Macaca fascicularis: one gene and its partner. The protein of the gene in region 1 purifies or fractionates together with the protein of each later gene. This does not show direct contact. Links are inferred from orthologs where the notes say so. Each region holds a gene or a part of one and is shown in the gene's direction. Other genes may lie near its edges.

Region 1 (7,510 bases):
ACAAATGTATCTACCTCCTTAAAGATCAAATAGCAATTTATAGATTAAAGTAGAGCATAACTTCATCTATGTAACTAGTCCCTATGGATGGTGGATGAGTGTTTCCAGTTTTTGCTATCATAAACAATACTGCAGACATTTTACTTACATCTTTGCATATATTTACAAGTTTATTCGCAGCAGGAATTATTAGCTGGTTCAAAGGAAAATTCATACGTGCTTGTTTTTTTCTTTTTTTGAGACAGAGGCTTGCTCTGTCACCCAGGCTGGAGTGCAGTGGGGCAATCTTGGCTTACTGCAACCTCTGTCTCCCAGGTTCAAGTGATCCTTCTGACTCAGTCTCCCAAGTAGTTGGGATCACAGGCGCCCGCCACCACCATGCCCAGTGAATTTTTGTATTTTTAGTATAGATGAGGTTTCACCATGCTTTCCAGGCTGGTCTCAAACTCCTGACCTCAGGTGATCCACCCACCTCAGCCTCCCCAAGTGCTGGGATTACAGGCGTGAGCCACCGCGCCTGGCCTGTTTCCCTACAACATCTTTACTACCACTGGGTGATATCAAATTTTTAAAGCTTTGCCCAATCTGCTAGGTTGTTTGGATTTTGTGTTGCTCAGAGTACATTTGAGTAAGCTTGTACAAATGTTTATCAGCCCTTTGGACCAGCTTCATATTTTCACCAATATACATAGCCAGGACACCCTCCTGAAAAACCGCCGCAAACCGCAGCGGTGTGCCTCTCTTTCCTGCCTCCAGCTAATGTTTTTCCTTCCACTTGGGTCTCTACAGGCTTCTAGAATAATTTTTTCCACAAGAAAAGCTGGTGATATTCTAAACCCTTGAGTGGCCTCCTCACTCACACCTCAGAGGATAAACAGCATAAACTTTGTTTTTCCTGTCTTCTTCTTTATTTTTCTCAGGCCATTCTCCCTTACAAGTTTGTTTTGTTTTGTTTGTTGCATGTATGTGTCTGTGTGTGTGTGTGTGTGTCTGTGTCTGTGTTTTCGAGACAGAGTCTCGCTCTGTTGCCTAGGCTGAAGTGCAGTGGTGTGATCATGGCTCAACCTCCTGGACTGAAGCTATTCTCCCACGTCAGCCTCCTAAGTATCTGGGACTACAGGCACACAGAATTATGCCCAGCTAATTTTTTTAAAGTTGTTGTTTTCTTTTTTTTTTTGTTTTTTTTTTTTAGGGGCCAGGCTCACAACTGTAATCCCAGCACCTTGGGAGGCTGAGGCGGGCCCCTGTCTCTACTATCTCTACTAAAAATACAAAAATTAGCACGACATGGTGGCCGTAGTCTGTAATCCCAGCTATTCGGGAGGCTAAGGCAGGAGAATCTCTAGAACCCGGGAGGCAGAGGTTGCAGTGATCCAAGATTGTGCCACTGCACTCCAGACTGGGCGACAGAGTGAGACTGCATCCCCCCCCAAAAAAAATGTGTTTTAGAGATGGGGGTCTTGCTATGTGTTGCCCAGGCTGGTCGAACTCCGGGGCTCAAGTGATCCTTCTGCCTCAGTCTCCCAAAGTGCTGGGATTACAGGCGCGGGCCACAACACCCAACTAATTTTTGTATTTTTAGTAAAGACGGGTTTCGCCATGTTGCCCAGGCTGGTCTTGAACTCCTGACCTCAAGAGATCTGCCCGCCTCGGCCTCTCAAAGTGCTGGGATTACACCTGTAAGCCACTGCATCCGGCATTGTCAAACTTTTTTTGTTCATATCACCCTCCTTAGGAGAAAACCCGAATTATTCTAAAATTGAATTTACATCAACTAAATTAATTTCAATATAATTACATTTAATATCTCCCTAAAGGCAGAAACTAAATACTTAGGAATAAGATGGCTGATAGAGCTGGCTTTAGAAGACCACAATATCTAAGATTTTTTTCCTCCCTGAAAAGCAGTTTTTTCCCCTGGGGAGTCATCATGAATCACTCCAACTGAGGACGGTTGTGCTTAGAGCAAGCAGCTGAGCCATAAAGAAGTAAATGCACAAAATTATACCGGAAAGCCAAGAATGCTACAAAGAAAAGAAGAGGGAGTGGCTGGGGAGGGGGGCGACTTGGCATCTGAATCATTGAGATCGGGAAAGAAGATAAGGAACAGTTTAAGCAAAAGGATTGTTTTCCCTGAGCTTTGGTTTCTTTTTTCTTTTTTTTTCTGTTTTAGAGACAGGGGTTCTCACTATGCTGCCCAGGCTGGTCTCAAACTCCTGGCCTCAAGCGATCCCCACACCTCAGTCTCCCAAAGTGCGGGATTACAGGCATGCGCCACCGGACCCAGTCTGAGCCTCAGTTTCCTCAGCTGTAAAATGGAAGTAATATCCTCCTCACCGTGCTTCATATACAACAAGCACTCAATAAGTGAGCCTTGTTATGATTATTATTATTTATTTTAATTTTACTTCTTTTTCTCAGACAGAGTCTCACTCTGCAGCCCAGGCTAGACTGCAGTGGTGTGATTTCGGCTCACTGCAGCCTCCGCCTCGTGGGTTCAAGCGATTCTCCCGCCTCAGCCTCCCGAGTCCCTGGGATTATAGGCGCCCGCCACCACGCCTGGCTAATTTTGGTTTTTTGTGTGTGTGGGGTTTTTTTTGTTTTGTTTTTTTTTTTGAGACGGTGTCTCGCTCTGTCGCCAGGGTGGAGTGCAGTGGCGCAATCTCAGCTCACTGCAACCTCCACCTCCCGGGTTCAAGCGATTCTCCTGCCTCAGCCTCCAATCTGTAGCTAGGACTACAGACGCGCACTACCACGCCCAGCTAATTTTTGTATTTTTAGTAGTGACGGGGTTTCGCCACGTTGGCCAAGCTGGTCTCGAACTCCTTACCTCAGGTGATCCGCCCGCCTCGATCTCCCAAAGTGAGGGGATTACAGGCTTGAGCCACCGCGCCCCGCCTATTTTAATTTTAAAGGTTAATAGGACCAGCACTGAAATCAGCCTCTGCCCCGCCAGCCCTGCTCTGGTACCAGCAGCGTTCAGCAGCACACACAGCCGCGTGCGCCTCCACCTCCGTCCGCAGGTGTCGTTGTGGGTGCCGCGGCTGGGCCTCTCTAGCGGCGACGGCGACACCGGAAGTCTCGTTTTCCACCCACTTCCGCTCTCTGGCCAGGCTTGGGCTGCGTGGAGAATACTTTTTGCGATGCCTACTGGAGACTTTGAGTGAGTCCGGGATCGCGGAGGGGGGCATGGGAAGCGGTTGGGGTGCTCTGGGCAGTATTATGGGGCCTGGGTGTGCCGAGGCTGCGGGGACCGGGCCTTGCTGACTTAATCTTCGCTTCCCACACATTTGTTTCCGCAGTTCGAAGCCCAGTTGGGCTGACCAGGTGGAGGAGGAGGGGGAGGACGGTAAGTGTACCCGGTCGCGCGGGGTAATCGCGGCCAGGCCCGAGCCGGGCGACTGACGCCTGCTTCCATCTCGCAGTCTGGCACCGTGTCCCCCGTCACGACCAGCCCCTGCCCCGCGCCATCCTCCTTGGGACCTGCCTGTTGCCAACTCCAGGTGTTCCCCGGCGGGTCCCTGTTCCTCCCATGTTACTGCCGAAGTCCTCCCAGCTGTTGCCTTACTCCAGGGAGGAAGTTGTAATCTCCCGTCTCCTGTTTCTCTACTGGCGCCTGGTTGGCTTCATGGCCTGGCACCCACCTTCCTACGAGGGATCCCCCATCTTTGCCACTCCAAGTCCCCACAGGGCTATCCCAGTGCGCTGCCTGGTCAGCCCTCTGCCCTTGACCTGCCTTTCTCAGCTCTTGCTGTAGGCATCATCCCAAAGGCCCTTCCATCGCAGCTGGGGAGCTCCTGCCCTGGACCTGACCCCTCCTCCCCACGCTGCCTCTTGCAGACAAATGTGTCACCAGCGAGCTCCTCAAGGGGATCCCTCTGGCCACTGGCGACACCAGCCCAGAGCCAGAGCTACTGCCGGGAGGTGAGTGAGGACTGCCACTCCGTGTCCGGGCTGCCTCTCCCTCCAGCCCTGCCGCTCCTGATCCCCATGACCCAGGGCTCAGTCCTTCTGTTTTTCCCCTTCTCCCAGCTCCACTGCCACCTCCCAAGGAAGTCATCAACGGAAACATAAAGACAGTGACAGAGTACAAGATAGATGAGGATGGCAAGAAGTTCAAGGTGAGGGTAGGGGGGCCCTTAGACCAGAAGGCGGCGGGGTATGCTGAGGGGGTTGGTAAAGGAGATCCCCTAGTCCCAGAAGCCTGACCCTTCTCCCCTGCCATCCTCAGATTGTCCGCACCTTCAGGATTGAGACCCGGAAGGCTTCAAAGGCTGTTGCAAGGAGGAAGGTGAGGCGCTCCTTCCCCAGGGCTAACCCAGAGGAATTGGGAAACCGTGCTCCGGGACCTTTTTGTTAAGAGATGGGGCTTAACTCTTTTTTTTTTTTTTTTGAGACAGAGTGTCGCTCTGTCCCCCAGGCTGTAGTGCAGTGGCACGATCTCGACTCACTGCAACCTCCGCCTCCTGGGTTCAAGTGATTCTCCTGCCTCAGCCTCCTGAGTAGCTGGGATTACAGGCATGCGCCACCACGCCCAGCTGATTTTTGTACTTTTAGTAGAGACGGGGTTTTGCCATGTTGGCCAGGCTCGTCTCGAACTCCTGACCTCACGTTATCCACCTGCCTCGGCCTCCCAAAGTGTTGGGATTACAGCCGTGAGCCATCGCACCCAGCCGGGCTTAACTCTTTGTACCTATTTTGTTGAAGCTGAACTGAGGCCTGGAGTGCTTACACTCTCTTGGGACTCTGGAAAGTCCAGGGCATAGGAGTCGATGATAAATAGCGATTAAATAAATGATAAATATCTAATAAAAGTTTGATGATAGATATCAAATTATATTAATAAATGTCAAATAAATTCCATTATAAATATCGAGTGAAAGTTAGATTCTTTTAATTTTTTTAAAGACACAGGGTCCAGTTCTGTTGCCCAGGTTGGAGTGCAGTGGCACGATCATAGCTTACTGCAGCCTTGAACTCCCAGGCTCAAGCCAACCTGGGATTACAGGTGTGCACTGCCACACCCGGCTAATTTTAATTATTTGTAGAGATGGGGTTTCACTATGTTGCCCAGGCTGGTCTCCAGCTCCTGGGCTTAAGAGATCCTCCCACCTTTGCCTCTCAAAGTGCTGGGATTACAGGAGGGAGCCACCGGGCCCAGCCGGGGTTAGATTCTTGTTCCTCTTGGCCTGTCAGCCTGGAGGAACAGAGGCAGGAGGTGGTCGCAGCAGTTAGAGGCATTAGCAATAAATACACTTAGAACAGCTTGCTGTGCACTTAATTGTAACATGCCCCATGGCAAACGCCTTGCAGGGAGTGTCTCTCTGATTCAGTCTCCTTAGGAGCCCAGGGAGGCAGGAAGCTTTTGTGGTTCCCGTTTGATAAGGGAGGAAGGGAGGAAGCTGAGGCTCAGGTTGTCTAGCTCAAGGGCCCGGAGGTCTGGGTAGACCCCTGCACATCCCTGAGTATCACGCCCTGGTGGGAGCTGGTCCGCCAGCCTGCACAGGCCCCAGGCTGTACAGCTGTCACCTGGAGCTTGGGCCTGGCGTGTACTCAGGAAATGGGAACTGTCGCCAGGACTATTTGGGGAGTGGTTGAGGAGGATGAAAATGGGGTTCGAGGCCCAGGTACTCTGGGGATGGCTGCTGTAGGTCTAGGGTACCCCACTGTGGAACCCTGCCTGCCCCTGCCCTCAACTGTCCCCCATCCCCCCCTGAGCCCAGAACTGGAAGAAGTTCGGGAACTCGGAGTTTGACCCCCCGGGACCCAATGTGGCCACCACCACCGTCAGTGATGACGTCTCTATGACGTTCATCACCAGCAAAGAGGTGAGCAGGGCGTTCGGGGGGGCTGGCGTGCTGGGGTGGGGCACAGGGGGTGCCTCAGCCGCCTCTGAGCTCCCACAACCCGCCCCTGCCAGGACCTGAACTGCCAGGAGGAGGAGGACCCCATGAACAAACTCAAGGGCCAGAAGATCGTGTCTTGCCGCATCTGCAAGGGCGACCACTGGACCACCCGCTGCCCCTACAAGGACACGCTGGGTCCCATGCAGAAGGAGCTGGCCGAGCAGCTGGGCCTGTCTACCGGCGAGAAGGAGAAGCTGCCGGGAGGTGCGGGGCTGGGGATGCTGGCTGCCATGGCGGGGGCGGGGGGTCCTGCTGTCAGTGCGCGGGTTCTGTCCCCAGTGCTGCCTTTGTGCTGTCATCTCCCACACGACAGCGTGGCAGGGTTGATGGCGCCCGACTCTTCTCAGGGCGTCTGTGCCTTCCTAATTGGCTGTACCTCCTGTGGTTGGGAGACCGGCGTCTCTCGTGTATGTGTGACTTGGCAGCTGTGACTCTGCTGGTGGCCCTATGACTGTCCTGATGGGAGCTGCTGTCTGTCGGCCCTTGTGTGTACACACTGTGTGTGTAGTGTCTCCGTTGCATGCCTGTGGCTGTAACGTCTGAATCTTTTGGTGGGATTGCTGGTGGTGAGTGTGAGAGTGGAGACGTGCATTTGTCGCCTACCATGCGAGGGAAACCTGGGCACTGTTCCTGTCGTGTGTCCCATGCCTGCTGTCGCTGTGGATGTGAGGCTGCCATTCCCGTCGCCACCCCCCCAACCCACCCTCTCTGGGGTGGGGTCAGGGCTCCCTCTTCCTCCGCCATTGTCACCGGCCAGGAGCTCAAATGGTGTCAGCTTCCTAGGTGTCACCTTGGTGTCCTCGTGGCCAACTGGCTGCCTGTGGCTTGGCACACGGTGCCTGCGCTGGGTCAGCACTGAAGCCTGAGCCTCCTGGGGCGGCTGTGTCCCTGTTCCTGCGCCAGGGTGAGGTTGAACTCAGTTGACTGTCTTTTGGTCCCCAGAGCTGGAGCCGGTGCAGGCCACGCAGAACAAGACAGGGAAGTACGTGCCACCAAGCCTGCGCGACGGGGCCAGCCGCCGCGGGGAGTCCATGCAGCCCAACCGCAGAGGTGAGGGGCACCCTGATGCCAGGCTGGTGGGTGGGCATCTCCCGGCACCTCGTAATTATCCCCAAAGCATGCACACAAGGGCCGGGCAGGGGCCTCCCCCTCACAGCCACCTCCCCTCTCCCACACAGCCGACGACAACGCCACCATCCGTGTCACCAACTTGTCAGAGGACACACGTGAGACCGACCTGCAGGAGCTCTTCCGGCCTTTCGGCTCCATTTCCCGCATCTACCTGGCTAAGGACAAGACCACCGGCCAGTCCAAGGTGGGCAGGCAGGCGGGTGCGACGGGGCTGTGTGAGGGTCACCTGTCCTGGGGTCGCCTGTCCTAGTTTGTGCCCCTGACCCCACCCCGCCCCTGCACAGGGCTTCGCCTTCATCAGCTTCCACCGCCGTGAGGATGCCGCGCGCGCCATCGCCGGGGTGTCTGGCTTCGGCTACGACCACCTCATTCTCAATGTCGAGTGGGCCAAGTAAGACTCCACCCCCGCCCCACCCCTCCCCACCCCAGCCCCTGCTCCCCACCTCGTCCCAGCACCTCCACGGAACCTTGGG
Region 2 (6,825 bases), on another chromosome or scaffold:
AGGGGCCGGCTGTGGGTGTTGAGAGGTTTTGGGGTGGGAGGTGTCAAGCAGGCATTAGGATATGGTTGGGCCCTGACGCTACCACCATTCTTCTCCGTCCCCCTCCCCCAAGCTGGCGCCTACTATCCAGCCCAAGGGGTGCAGCAGTTTCCCACTGGTGTGGCCCCCGCCCCAGTTTTGATGAACCAGCCACCCCAGATTGCTCCCAAGAGGGAACGTAAGACGGTGAGTAGCAGCGAGGGGCTCCGGGACATCTGGGAAGGGGAGAATCAAGGTCAGATGCTGCTGGGACATTGTGCCGGAAAGAACAGTGACTTGAGGAAGGAGCTGAGAGTGGGCAGAGAATGGGGTCTGTGGAGGGCTCAGGTTCTTTGTAAGATACTAAGATTTTAGCATAGAAGCAGGTCATGGGAAGACTGAAGTGGCTAGCGAGGAAGTTCCTGTGAGACCTGGGTGCTGGGAGGTTGGAAGAACTGTGCTTGCTTTTGGGCTTCTGGTGGCTTGCCTTGGAAATGGTTTGTTTTCTGTGGCCCCAGCCCCCATCCCCACCCGGCCCCCCCCACAAGTCCTGGAAGCTCTCAAGGCCTCCGCCTCTGCTCAGTCCTCAAGCCCTGGGCGTGGTGCCCAGAATAGGGTGCCAGAGCTGGGGAAGCCGCTGAGTCACCCTGGCTCCACCTACTGGATCTGGGCCCTGCCCCCAGAGATCAGGCACACTAGCCACAAGTGAGCCGATTGGGTGCTAGATGGGGGTCTTGGGCCCCAGGGTGTGCAGCCACTGGCTTGGGGACTGCTGGTGGGGTAGGGATGAGGGAGGGAGGGGCATTGTGATGTACAGGGCTGCTTTGTGAGGTCAAGGGTCTCTTAAGGGTGGGAGCTAGGGCAGGGACTACAAGAGCAGCCAGATGGGCTGAAAGTGGAACTCAAGGGGTTTCTGGCACCTACCTACCTGCTTCCCAGTGTGGGGTGGGGAGTTGGCCCAGAGTCTTAAGAGTGGGGCAGGGTGGAGAGGTGGGCTCTTCCTGCTTCCCACTCATCCCATAACTTTCTTTCCCCAGATCCGAATTCGAGATCCAAACCAAGGAGGAAAGGATATCACGGAGGAGATCATGTCTGGGGCCCGCACTGCCTCCACACCCACCCCTCCCCAGGTACTGTCTGTTTTTTGAGCGATACCCTGACTGGGATGTCTGTTCTGCCCTGGACTCCCAAGTCTCTGGATCTTTTCTTTCAACTAAGGGATTTATTTCCCTGCTTTCCTGGATTTCTAGGCAGAGCTAAAGTAGAAATGGCTCTAGTAAAGAAGGGTTGTGGGACTCTTCAGTGCAAACTTGGTAACCCTTTGTGTCCTGCAGACGGGAGGCGGTCTGGAGCCTCAAGCTAATGGGGAGACGCCCCAGGTTGCTGTCATTGTCCGGCCAGGTAAGTAAGCGGGTGGGATGGAACTTTTACGGGGAAAGGGAATGTTGACAGTTTGCTGTCACCTCAATGCTGAGGTGGTGGAGTGACTTGAACTGGGTACCAGAGAAGGATGACTTAGATTTCAGGTCGTGGGATTTTGAGGGTGAATTGGGTTTTGGATGAAAGTGGAAGTATAGCTTAGGTGGGAGATGATGACGTGGGAGTGTTAAGTTGGAAATACCTTGGCTGGAGGATGGGGAGGAACAACAGCAGTGAAGCACTTGCCTTTAGTTGCTCATTCTTCCTTCCTATGGTGCAGATGACCGGTCACAGGGAGCAATCATTGCTGACCGGCCAGGGCTGCCTGGCCCAGAGCACAGCCCTTCAGAATCCCAGCCTTCGTCACCTTCTCCGACCCCATCACCATCCCCAGTCTTGGAACCGGGGTCTGAGCCTAATCTCGCAGTCCTCTCTATTCCTGGGGACACTATGGCAACTATACAAATGTCTGTAGAAGAATCAACCCCCATCTCCCGTGAAACTGGGGAGCCATATCGCCTCTCTCCAGAACCCACTCCTCTCGCCGAACCCATACTGGAAGTAGAAGTGACACTTAGCAAACCGGTTCCAGAATCTGAATTCTCTTCCAGTCCTCTCCAGGCTTCCACTCCTCTGGCATCTCACACAGTGGAAATTCATGAGCCTAATGGCATGGTCCCATCTGAAGATCTGGAACCAGAGGTGGAGTCCAGCCCAGAGCTTGCTCTTCCACCAGCTTGCCCCTCCGAATCCCCTGTGCCCATTGCTCCAACTGCCCAACCTGAGGAACTGCTCAACGGAGCCCCCTCGCCACCAGCTGTGGACTTAAGCCCAGTCAGTGAGCCAGAGGAGCAGGCCAAGGAGGTGACAGCATCAGTGGCGCCCGCCACCATCCTCTCTGCCACTCCAGCTATGGCTCCTTCAGCTACTTCCCCCGCTCAGGAGGAGGAAATGGAAGAAGAAGAAGAAGAAGAGGAAGAAGGAGAAGCAGGAGAAGCTGAGAGTGAGAAGGGAGGAGAGGAACTGCTCCCCTCAGAGAGCACCCCTGTTCCAGCCAACTTGTCTCAGAATTTGGAGGCAGCAGCGGCCACTCAAGGTAAGGATTGGTTGGGCAGTAGAGGTAGGGTGGGCTAGGGGATGTGGTTCCTTGCCCTCCTTGATGACCTCCCGTTTTTGCCATGTTTCTGGGTCATAGAGGCCCTGCAATGGAATCTAAGAACTAGATTAAGGACTTTTAAGCCTGAAGACTGTGATGCAAAGGGGAAATATGTACTTTGGCTGCTTTTTATTTCCCAGGGATTAAGGGTACTCCTTAAATTATTGGCAAAGACCCATGCTTTTATTTATTTTTTAAAATTAGTGGCAGTATCTGTGCCAAAGAGGAGACGGAAAATTAAGGAGCTAAATAAGAAGGAGGCTGTTGGAGACCTTCTGGATGCCTTCAAGGAGGTAAGGGAGCAGAAAACGGAAGGGGAGAGGGCCAAGTTGAGGTATGGAACAGTGGTCATTGTGCAACCAAAACTGGTGTTCTGTTGTTCTAGGCAAACCCGGCAGTACCAGAGGTGGAAAATCAGCCTCCTGCAGGCAGCAATCCAGGCCCAGAGTCTGAGGGCAGTGGTGTGCCCCCACGTCCTGAGGAAGCAGATGAGACCTGGGACTCAAAGGAAGACAAAATTCACAATGCTGAGAACATCCAGCCCGGGGAACAGAAGTATGAATATAAGTCAGGTATGCTGAAGAAAGGGTTGAGAATGACTTGAGTTTTCTTATTAGGGCCAGAGAAGACAGTATGATTGCTTCATTCTCTTCCTCGCAGATCAGTGGAAGCCTCTAAATCTAGAGGAGAAAAAACGTTACGACCGTGAGTTCCTGCTTGGTTTTCAGTTCATCTTTGCCAGTATGCAGAAGCCAGAGGGATTGCCCCATATCAGTGATGTGGTGCTGGACAAGGTTAGTGGCTTGAGTCAGGGAGGGGACGATAAGTTTGTGCTGGATGGATTGGGGAGGAGCCTGAGGTCCTGAAAGAGTAGTCAACTGCTCTAGCCTGCTTCTAAGACCTTTTCCTGTCCTCTTTGCAGGCCAATAAAACACCACTGCGACCACTGGACCCCACTAGACTACAAGGCATAAATTATGGCCCAGACTTCACTCCATCCTTTGCCAACCTTGGCCGGCCAGCCCTTAGCACCCGTGGGCCCCCAAGGGGTGGGCCAGGTGGGGAGCTGCCCCGAGGGCCGGTGAGTGGGGCTGGGTAAAGGGGCAGGTGGGTAAGGAGTGGGAGTGGATGATTCCCCTGTGTCTCAGTGCTGACGGGGAGGGTTTTGCCCTGGAGGCGTGTAGTAGTGGTATCACATATTGTGCTGACTAGTTCCACGTCCCCTCTTGTCTTCATCTCTTGCTTAGCAGGCTGGCCTGGGACCCCGGCGCTCTCAGCAGGGCACCCGAAAAGAACCACGCAAGATCATTGCCACAGTGTTAATGACCGAAGATATAAAACTGAACAAAGCAGAGAAAGCCTGGAAACCCAGCAGCAAGCGGACGGCAGCTGATAAGGACCGAGGGGAAGAGGATGCTGATGGCAGCAAAACCCAGGTACTGGCGAGTCCTGCTTTTGGTCTCTCTCCATTTCTTTTCCATGTCTGCTGTCAGTGCCCTCTTTGCTGCTTTTTGTCCTTATCAGTAGCATCTGTCATGCCTAAGTCCCCACCACTCTCTCCTGTCCCTCTGAACAGCCTGTTCTGAGACCCTCACTGGAACTCTTGTCTCCTCTTCCTCCAGGACCTATTCCGCAGGGTGCGCTCCATCCTGAATAAGCTGACACCCCAGATGTTCCAGCAGCTGATGAAGCAAGTGACGCAGCTGGCCATTGACACCGAGGAACGCCTCAAAGGGGTCATTGACCTCATTTTTGAGAAGGCCATTTCAGAGCCCAACTTCTCTGTGGCCTATGCCAACATGTGCCGCTGCCTCATGGCGGTTAGTTTCCACTGGGTTCTAAATCTTATGGTCTAGTTGCCCATTTCTATTCCCAAGACTCCTTGAGTCCAGCTTCTTGGTTCTCCTCCAACTTGCACCTCTTCCAGCTGGAAGGAGGCACAGCTGGGGCCAGATATCTTCCTGGGTCAGGTAGTTAAAGGCTCTTGGAGGGCCTTCCCTGCCCAGTACTAGTCTGAGTGTGACATTCTCTCCGACCTGCAGCTGAAAGTGCCCACTACGGAAAAGCCAACAGTGACTGTAAACTTCCGAAAGCTGTTGTTGAATCGATGTCAGAAGGAGTTTGAGAAAGACAAAGATGATGATGAGGTTTTTGAGAAGAAGCAAAAAGAGATGGATGAAGCTGCTACGGTGAGAGAAAACCCACTACCGATTCCACTCCCCACTTAGCTCCTTCCCTCACCCAGATTCTACTCAACTGTAGAATTTGGAATGGAAATAGTGGTGTCTTGGGGATTTCTCTGGCTCAGAACTTTTTTTTTTCCTTTTTGAGACAGAGTCTCGCTCTGTCACCGAGGCTGGAGTGCAGTGGCGTGATCTTGGCTAGCCTCCACCTCCCGAGTTCAAGCGACTCTCCTGCCTCAGCCTCCCAAGTAGCTGGGATTACAGGCATGTGCCACCATACCTGGCTAATTTTTTTGCATTTTTAGTAGAGACGGGGTTTTACCATGTTGGCCAAGCTGGTCTCAAACTCCTGACCTCAAGTGATCTGTCTGCCTCGGTCTCCCAAAGTGGTGGGATTACAGGCATGAGCCACTATGCCCAGCCAGCCTGCCTCAGGACTGAGTGCTTATTGCTAAGTTTGGATATCCAGGTAGAAAAGGGTTTTAGCAGAGTGGCTGGCTATCTTTTTGACACAATCCCTGTCATGTGAATGGCAGGCAGAGGAACGAGGACGCCTTAAGGAAGAGCTGGAAGAGGCTCGGGACATAGCCCGGCGGCGCTCTTTAGGGAATATCAAGTTTATTGGGGAGTTGTTCAAGCTGAAGATGTTAACAGAGGCAATAATGCATGACTGTGTGGTCAAACTGCTTAAGAACCATGATGAAGAGTCCCTTGAGTGCCTTTGTCGTCTGCTTACCACCATTGGCAAAGACCTGGACTTTGAAAAAGCCAAGGTAGAGGTTCTTGCATCTGGAGGGGGATGGGCTGAAGCATGCGGGGCTCACTGAGCCACAGGGACGAGGCGGAAGGCCTGAGGGGAGGGGTGGGGCCTGCAGTTATAGGTGAGACATGAGAAGTTCCTGGTCTGATGCCTTTCTCCTCCATAGCCCCGAATGGATCAGTATTTCAACCAGATGGAAAAAATCATCAAAGAAAAGAAGACGTCATCCCGCATCCGCTTTATGCTGCAGGACGTGCTGGATCTGCGAGGGGTGTGTGTCCCCCTCCTCCCCACTGCCAGCCTGCTGCCTCCAGTTTCTGACACTGTCTTGTCTGGCCTTCCCTGACATCATCGTGACTGGCCTTCTGTCTCCACAGAGCAATTGGGTGCCACGCCGAGGGGATCAGGGTCCCAAGACCATTGACCAGATCCATAAGGAGGCTGAGATGGAAGAACATCGAGAGCACATCAAAGTGCAGCAGCTCATGGCCAAGGGCAGTGACAAGCGTCGGGGTGGCCCTCCAGGCCCGCCCATCAGTGAGTTCCAGGCTGGGATTGAGAAGGGAGCAGTGAAGAGACTGGGAGGTTATACTTTCCTCTGATGACTTCCTGTTAGTGCCACGTGTCTGGGCCACTGAGACCCCATGATGGAACTGAGGATCTGAGGAAGGGAGGCTGGGGGTGGCCCAAGGGGAAGGGGCTGCTAAGGTTTATTCATTATTCCAGTATGCCCCTCTTTTTGTGTCAGGCCGTGGACTTCCACTTGTGGATGATGGTGGCTGGAACACAGTTCCCATCAGCAAAGGTAGCCGCCCCATTGACACCTCACGACTCACCAAGATCACCAAGGTAGGGGTGTGTGTGGGAGTGGGTGATTCAACTCAGGTTTAGATCTTCGTCCCCTCACTTTTCTTTTTTTTTTTTTTTTTTTTTTGAGACGGAGTCTTGCTCTGTCGCCCAGGCTGGAGTGCAGTGGCCGGATCTCGGCTCACTGCAAGCTCTGCCTCCCGGGTTCACGCCATTCTCCTGCCTCAGCCTCCTGAGTAGCTGGGACTACAGGCGCCCGCCACCTCGCCCGGCTAGTTTTTTGTATTTTTTAGTAGAGATGGGGTTTCACCGTGTTAGCCAGGATGGTCTCCATCTCCTGACCTCGTGATCCACCCGTCTCGGCCTCCCAAAGTGCTGGGATTACAGGCTTGAGCCACCACGCCCGGCCGTCCCCTCACTTTTCTAAGGTTGAGAAGGTGACAACTAAATGTTTCCTCTTAGACTAACTGGTTGGATTGGTA

The links. Proteins that work in one complex are often made in the same cells at the same time.
Region 2: the proteins of EIF3G (region 1) and EIF4G1 purify together in Homo sapiens (affinity purification with mass spectrometry; 3 studies listed by BioGRID, with this or other methods). This does not show direct contact. The link is inferred for Macaca fascicularis from reciprocal best matches to the Homo sapiens genes EIF3G and EIF4G1.

Annotation. Positions count from the first base shown.
Region 1 is NC_088393.1:10,661,774-10,669,283, reverse strand, and holds the start of EIF3G (eukaryotic translation initiation factor 3 subunit G), read left to right. Parts: upstream 1-3,083; 5' UTR 3,084-3,143; coding exon 3,144-3,163; intron 3,164-3,302; coding exon 3,303-3,349; intron 3,350-3,840; coding exon 3,841-3,924; intron 3,925-4,032; coding exon 4,033-4,121; intron 4,122-4,231; coding exon 4,232-4,291; intron 4,292-5,723; coding exon 5,724-5,828; intron 5,829-5,920; coding exon 5,921-6,110; intron 6,111-6,848; coding exon 6,849-6,956; intron 6,957-7,084; coding exon 7,085-7,221; intron 7,222-7,321; coding exon 7,322-7,428; intron 7,429-7,510. UniProt on the Homo sapiens protein: RNA-binding component of the eukaryotic translation initiation factor 3 (eIF-3) complex, which is required for several steps in the initiation of protein synthesis.
Region 2 is NC_088376.1:96,241,926-96,248,750, forward strand, and holds part of EIF4G1 (eukaryotic translation initiation factor 4 gamma 1), read left to right. Parts: intron 1-112; coding exon 113-225; intron 226-1,055; coding exon 1,056-1,148; intron 1,149-1,352; coding exon 1,353-1,419; intron 1,420-1,717; coding exon 1,718-2,533; intron 2,534-2,588; exon of another isoform or gene 2,589-2,667; intron 2,668-2,797; coding exon 2,798-2,886; intron 2,887-2,978; coding exon 2,979-3,165; intron 3,166-3,253; coding exon 3,254-3,387; intron 3,388-3,515; coding exon 3,516-3,674; intron 3,675-3,840; coding exon 3,841-4,029; intron 4,030-4,215; coding exon 4,216-4,413; intron 4,414-4,635; coding exon 4,636-4,782; intron 4,783-5,312; coding exon 5,313-5,549; intron 5,550-5,702; coding exon 5,703-5,807; intron 5,808-5,913; coding exon 5,914-6,073; intron 6,074-6,129; exon of another isoform or gene 6,130-6,205; intron 6,206-6,284; coding exon 6,285-6,385; intron 6,386-6,825.